2 linked regions of the Xenopus tropicalis genome follow. The protein of the gene in region 2 binds, or shares a complex with, the protein of the main gene of each other region. Links are inferred from orthologs where the notes say so. Each region holds a gene or a part of one and is shown on either strand. Other genes may lie near its edges.

Region 1 (3,656 bases), on a different chromosome or scaffold from region 2:
GCCCACGCCCATATTGAACACTCCTTACAACTGCCAATGGACCGTAAGCTTAGGTTGAAAGGAAAGTCAGTTTGCGTAACGGAGGCCTAATATTTCCTGAGGCGTGGCCGCTGAATAAAGACTGTGGAAGGGTAAGGCCACATTCCACTCATAACTGACCTCAATTGTTTTATATAAACACAGCCAACCCCAAGCAAACTCTCTTCTTACAGTCAGTTTAATGATCTTTCAGGTGATCCATAAGGACAAAAGGAAGATGAACACCACATTCTGATGGTAACCAGGCCACTCACCTACGCTCCCATGGCCAGAACATAATGTACCAACAGGAATGCCATTCAGTGGGGCTAGAGATTTGGAGAACTTATTTGCTGTCCAAGATATTCTTAGAACTATGGATATGGATATTCTAGGAATATCTTGGACAGCAAATAAGTTCTCCAAATCTCCAGCCCCATTGAGTGATATTCCTCTTCCTGAGCTTCATCAGGTTCTAGCCAGGGAAGTGTAGGTGGGTGGGGATACAGGGTTCTGGCCTTCTTTGCTGTCTAAGATATTAGAAATATGGCTGACAATGTCTTATATATATATATATATATATATATATACTGTACTTAACCTAGTTTTGGGATAAAGGTTACAAATGAGCCGAAGGTTGCATCTCAAAGTAGGGCTTGAATCAAATCCAAAAACAATGCTTTAGGGACTACAAAGTGACAGGAGCATTCTTAAGGTGGCCATACAGGGGATGATTGTATCAGCCCATGTAGGGGCAGCAACGACTGGCATGCCCGACATCTGGCCTGAAATCGGGCCGATATCGATCGGGCAGGTTAAAAAATGTAGTCGGATTGGGGACCACATTGGCTCATTGGTGCAGTCCCCAAAGCGACTGTGCCCATTGCCGTCATTATAATTCAATCGTTTGGCCCCAGGGAGAAGATTCGGAAGATCTTAAAGTGTATGGCCACCTTTAGATCCCATTCAGTAGTCCAGAGCAATCATTCAGTGGCTAGGAATGTTAATACTGCTGAGGGCAGTGGGCAACCAACAATGTACTAAAGGTAGAACAGCTACAGAGGGTCCATTCGTTGCCGGGGTCCTGAAACCAATTAGTATTGCTCTTTATGGTACAGTGGACACCAAATGTTACAATGTAGGGGAAACTGCCCCACTCTGCCTTTTATCTCCATATAGGGTCAACATAGTCCATGAACTGGGCAACTTTCCATTACTGGGCCTTCTCATCCTCAAGGGGGATACTCCTGTGCTCCTGGCTCGCATCAGTTATCAAATATCTGGTTTAGGGTACTGGCCTAGAGTACATGGTGGCCATGAAACAGCATAACCCCCTTTACCCTGAGAACCTAGAAAGGGCAAGGGGACACCTTGTCACTTGCTCTATGGAGCACCCATTACTCTCCTATGTTCCTCCTTATATATGGTAACAGGCAGAGTTTGCACCACTTCAGTAACCTATGTGGTGAAGCCATGTAACCAGATGGAATATGTTCTCCCATATATACATACGCAGAGGTAATAGCTCTGTAGCGTTCCAAGCCAGCGGTGTCCCAGATCTGCGATTTCACCAGGTGCCCATCTATCGTTAGCGTGCGGGTGGAGAACTCCACTCCAATGGTGGTGCGGCTGTCGTGGTTGAACTCGTTCCTCGTAAACCTGGAGAGGAGGTTGGTTTTGCCCACCCCGGACTCTCCAATCAGAACCACTGTCAATCAGAACAGCAAAGAGGGTCAATGAGTTTCAAAATGGCACCTCCTGGGCCTCATCCTTCAGGTCACACTTGTGTCTTTTGGTCACGGTAATAAACACCCTAATTAGAGCTAGAGAGGTATCTTTTTAGGTAATGTAATAATGCAAACGGATCCAGGAATAATAGTAGATAGCACTCAGTGTCAGATAGCAGCTGTAAAGCTAACATGTATGGAACAGTCTCTATAAGAACATATCACATAAAGCAGCTCATATGTAAAACCCTGCTTCATCTATAAATAAACCATTTTGATAAAACTATACTTTTTAATTAGTATGTGCCATGGGGTAATCCTAAATAGGAAACTGCCATTTTAGGTACTAAGGGCCGCCCCCTGGGATCATAGGAGTCACAGTGCACACAAACAAGCCAAGGCACACATACATGCTAGGCCCCATCAGCCAATGAATGGACAGAGTTCTGCCTTTTGCTCCCACACTACTTCCTGTTACAGTTAGAGCTGCATCACTTCCTGTCAGCTGATCTCTGAGGGAGCACACAGCCCATCACTAAATGATTGCTCAAGGGAAAGGATGTAAATATATATATTTATATATATTATCAACATTATCAACATATTATCAACATATACAAATATTAAAAAGGGTCATATGAAAATGTATCTGGTACAGTGATGCATTAGGCATCATGAGATTGGAGGAAAGGAGATTTCACCATCAGCACAGGAAAGAGGGCAGTCAGGTTATGGAATTTCCTACCAACAGAGCCCAATAATGAGTGATTCACTGGGGTTTAAAATGCACAGTAAGGCTTTCTAGCATGGAGGTGGTGTATAATTAGCCAGCAGAATACAGGGTTGGGTTGTGTAATAAACCTTTTAGTTCTGGGTGCTGAGAGTCCCTTTATTGCACGGCTACATCATGTGATTAAATATGACAGCCAGTAATTCAGGTCGTAGGATACAGAATTAGCATTATGACTAGAATTATATGCTCGATCCTTGGGAGACACCCCAGGGATAATCCCAGTGATCACCTAACATGACGCCTCACTGGGGCGTGCACTGCCCCTTTAATCTAACTACAGACACTTTATCATCAGTTTTGAGTCAGTATCTTATTGGCTAGTGTATAGGGCCACAACTATGGGTTTTCTGGCCAACAGACCATCTGTTGCTTGGGAAGATCAGAAAGAACCCATGGGTCATTAGTGCTGCTCTTATCACTGCTAACACTGGTCAGGGCTGCTTTATGGTACCAGTAGGCCCTGGGCAACATGTAATTGGTGGGCCCCCATTGGCCCAGGAAATTGGTGATAGAATAACCCCCAAGCACCTACAGTTCAATATAGTAAGACAGGCAGTAAAGAAATAGACATGGTCCCTAGCTGAAGTAGACATGGTCCCTAGCTGAAGTAGACATGGTCCCTAGCTGAAGTAGGCATGGTCCCTAGCTGAAGTAGACATGGTCCCTAGCTGAAGTAGACATGGTCCCTAGCTGAAGTAGACATGGTCCCTAGCTGAAGTAGACATGGTCCCTAGCTGAAGTAGACATGGTCCCTAGCTGAAGTAGACATGGTCACTAGCTGATGTAGACATGGTCCCTAGCTGAAGTAGACATGGTCCCTAGCTGAAGCAGGCATGGTCCCTAGCTGAAGTAGACATGGTCCCTAGCTGAAGCAGGCATGGTCCCTAGCTGAAGTAGACATGGTCCCTAGCTGATGTAGACATGGTCCCTAGCTGAAGTAGACATGGTCCCTAGCTGAAGTAGACATGGTCCCTAGCTGATGTAGACATGGTCCCTAGCTGAAGTAGACATGGTCCCTAGCTGAAGTAGACATGGTCCCTAGCTGATGTAGACATGGTCCCTAGCTGAAGTAGACATGGTCCCTAGCTGATGTAGACATGGTCCCTAGCTGAAGTAGA
Region 2 (3,425 bases):
CCCCACCTACGGGTGAGCAATATTGGGGAACCTGTAGGCGAATTTGATCGTTTGGCCCTGGGGCCAAAGGATTGAATTCTAACGTCGGCAATGGGGCAGTCCAACCTGGCCAATCGATATCTGGCCAAAGATATTGGTCGGCTAGGCCCCTCGTTTCTGCCCCTACACGGGCTGAGAAGCTGCCGAATCGGTCCAAGGGACCCATATCGGCAGCTACAATCGGCCCGTGTATGGGGACCCAGATCTCAATTGGGCAGGTTTGATTTTCCCAGTGGATCAGGGACTGCGTTGGCTCATTGATCCGGACCTCTGTCCCACAGGCCATTTAGCCCCCCCCTGTCGCCCCCTATAGCGATCGCAACGCGTATAGCACCTTCAGTAAGAATAAATGGACACAATCTGCCACAACAGGGAGCACCCGTTTATGGTGTTACTACTCTGAGCAGCCATTGGGGGTTTTAGGGTTCATTTTGGAAAGATAAAAAGGGAAAGTAACTTTAAACAATTAGGACCAATTGCAGAGTTGCTTCGCCATGTTCCTTCTTCAGTGTACAAACTTGAATTTAATATTGAGCTTCGCCATTAGCTAATGAGAGTTATAGTTATCTAATGACGAAGCTCCAAAAAGGTTACAGGGTTTGCTGTAATAGTGGGCAGGGTCACGGGCCAGTCATACGTAAGTGGGAGTGGCCAGTTGTCCAGTTGTTTTTATTAACGAATACCCAGAAGAGATGTCTTTGTTACTAATCTCCATGGGGGTATTTATACACAATCTACACTTGAGCATATTTTCTCTGCAATACCGCGGGCTTCATCCAATGATAATGAACTCCCCAAACAATGCAATTACACAGCATTAGGACCTGATAATGGGCAGGAAGCTCCATTTAATGAAGGGGAGAATGTGTGCAATTATGTGCTCTCTGCCATGCTGATATATGGCATTCTCCAGAGTGTTAATAATATACACAGAGTAGCGCTGCGTTACTGCCCAGGGTCGAGGAATATACTCGGGAATTAGAGATAATTAATGATGAGTTCCTAAGAATCACTGTTCTGTACAGAATAAAGCTAGATATGTCAGATGCGCAGAATCCATTATTTTTCTGCTGAACACCGAAGCCTTTGTGAAAGATTTGGCCGAATACTGAACCGAATCTGCCTATGGAAATTAGGCTATGGAAGGGTTAAATAGAAACACATGCTTCAAATTTTTTGTTCATGTAACCAAGTCAGGTGATTTTAAGGATTCAGATTGTCCAGACCAGGCATCCTCAAACTAAGACCCAGCGGGCCGGATACGGGCCCCCCAAGGAATTTACCCAGCCCCCCACTATGATCTGATGCAAGGACGCAAGGGGGGAGCCAGAGGACGCAGAATGGAGCCAGAGGAGGGAGAGGGAGGATGCAAGGGGGGAGCCGGAGGAAGGAGAGGGAGGAAGCAAGGGGGGAGCAGGAGGATGCAGGGGGGAGCTGGAGGAGGGAGCGGGAGGACGCAGGGGGGAGCTGGAGGAGGGAGCGGGAGGAGGCAATGGGGGAGCGGGAGGATGCAAGGGGGGAGCGGGAGGGCGCAAGGGGGGAGCTGGAGGAGGGAGGGGGAGGGTGCAAGGGGGAGCGGGGGAGGGGTGCAAGGGGGGAGCTGGAGAAAGGAGAGGGAGGACGCAAGGGGGGAGCCAGAGGACACAGAAGGGAGCCAGAGGGAGGACGGAAGGGGGGAGCCAGAGGACGCAGATGGGAACCGAAGGAGGGATCGAGAGGACACCAGGGGGGAGCCAGAGGAGGGAGAGGGAGGATGCAGGGGGGAGCGGGCCATAGTATGAGGACACTGGGGGAGGACTTTAGTCCGGCCCCTCAACAATCTGAGGGACCATGAACTGGCCCCCTGCTTAAAAAGTTTGAGGACCCCTGGTCTAGACGCTTGTATTTAGCCAAATCTGAATCCTGCTGAAAAATCCTGCTGGATTCGGTGTATGCCTATAACAGAAATATAGGCTACTAAAAGGCTCTTATATTGAAGTCAGTAAGTTGCTGTTGAAAATTTTCTACTAGATACCTCCCATTTTTAAAATTAGAACATTTTTGTTGCTGTCCCCTCAGTCCATATAGACACTTTATCCATTGTTCTCCCACCACCTTTATGGTCACCCATATTGCCCAAAAGTACTGGGTGTGAAAAAGCAGAGAGGTCTTCTACTAAGGTTATGTTGAAAGAACACTAACTAGAGACATTAGCACATTCCTTGTTAATTGATATTTATCTCTGATGGTAAACAAAACTGTTCATTTTATTTCTACCTGTTTGTACCAAAAAACTTCCCCACCGTCACCCTCTGATTTGTACTTTTTAGGATTCGGGCCCCTTTGATGGCGCAGGGCTCTACAGTCACCTCACTCGCAACGAGGTGGAGCGGGAACTTTCCAAGCACAAGGAGCTTCTGAAGAGGAAGGACGGTCACATTCGAGAACTTGAGGATTACATTGATGACTTGTTGGTGCGGGTAATGGAGGAGACACCCAGCATCCTGCGTGTGCCTTACATACCCTCCAAGAAAGCCGGCAAATTCCCTCAGAGCTAATAAGTACCTGCCTACTGCCCACCTTGTCGTTCCTGCCTCTGATTGGTCGCTCGCCCAGTCTGAGACCTGCCTATATAGACTAATTAACGGTCTCCAGGCGTTTTAATGATTAAAAACAAAGTCATATTCTGAAATACTTTGGTGAAATGAAGTTTAAGAAAATGGTGCTTTCGAGACAACGTGAGTTATAGTGGCATTGGCAAAGTTCTGTGCCATTTCTTTTGTGAGATCTGATTTTAATTTTATTAAGTACAAAATGTACAGATGACTGTAAGAACCCTCTTTTTAAAAAAAAAAAAATATTGCGTTTACCCCCTCTGCCATGGTGAACTGTTGGGGGTCTCCGTAATCTGGCTGCTGGCTAGCAATAGGGAAACAGTACCTTTTTATTATGCTTGGCCCACATATTGTGGATCATCCATCTTAGACCATGCTCGGAGCTGTAGTCTCACAAGACGAGCCCTACGGGCAATACAGAGGTGTCAGTTCCCCTGTTGTGTTGGTTCTGTGTTCTAAAGAACCACAGCAAGCTGTTCTCCTGGGGTTGCCTCTGGGGTCAGCCATTGAATGGTGACGTTTTTTGAAGTTACCCATTCGTTCTTCTTACCTAGTACGCCCCTTTCTGCCTGGTAACAGGGTTACTTTTCTATTCCCTGGGTGGTTGGAGTACACAGTAACTTCACACTATATGGAGATGTGCTATGATGGATCTGCTTTCTTTATCCAAGAGGGGCAGAGATTCTGAACCCCTTTATAGCAGGACAATTCACCTATTAGGAACCTACACCTTGTGTTTCATAGGAGCTAAGGTATCCCAATCCTCACATACTTGTTTCACGGCAATAACAT

Evidence for each region.
Region 1: the proteins of rab11fip2 (region 2) and rab25 are in contact, whole or in part, in a crystal structure (PDB 3TSO), measured with the Homo sapiens proteins. The link is inferred for Xenopus tropicalis from reciprocal best matches to the Homo sapiens genes RAB11FIP2 and RAB25. Residues at the interface, in NP_055719.1 of Homo sapiens: Arg475, Glu478, Ile481, Asp482, Asn483, Leu485, Val486, Met489, Pro493, Ser494, Leu496, Arg497, Val498, Pro499; in NP_065120.2 of Homo sapiens: Arg34, Ile45, Gly46, Val47, Glu48, Phe49, Ser50, Thr51, Lys62, Trp66, Arg73, Arg75, Ala76, Ile77, Ala80, Tyr81.

Annotation. Positions count from the first base shown.
Region 1 is NC_030684.2:133,284,467-133,288,122, reverse strand, and holds part of rab25 (ras-related protein Rab-25), read right to left. Parts: intron 1,727-3,656; coding exon 1,531-1,726; intron 1-1,530. UniProt on the Homo sapiens protein: The small GTPases Rab are key regulators of intracellular membrane trafficking, from the formation of transport vesicles to their fusion with membranes.
Region 2 is NC_030683.2:5,848,146-5,851,570, reverse strand, and holds the end of rab11fip2 (rab11 family-interacting protein 2), read left to right. Parts: intron 1-2,348; coding exon 2,349-2,576; 3' UTR 2,577-2,876; downstream 2,877-3,425. UniProt on the Homo sapiens protein: A Rab11 effector binding preferentially phosphatidylinositol 3,4,5-trisphosphate (PtdInsP3) and phosphatidic acid (PA) and acting in the regulation of the transport of vesicles from the endosomal recycling compartment (ERC) to the plasma membrane.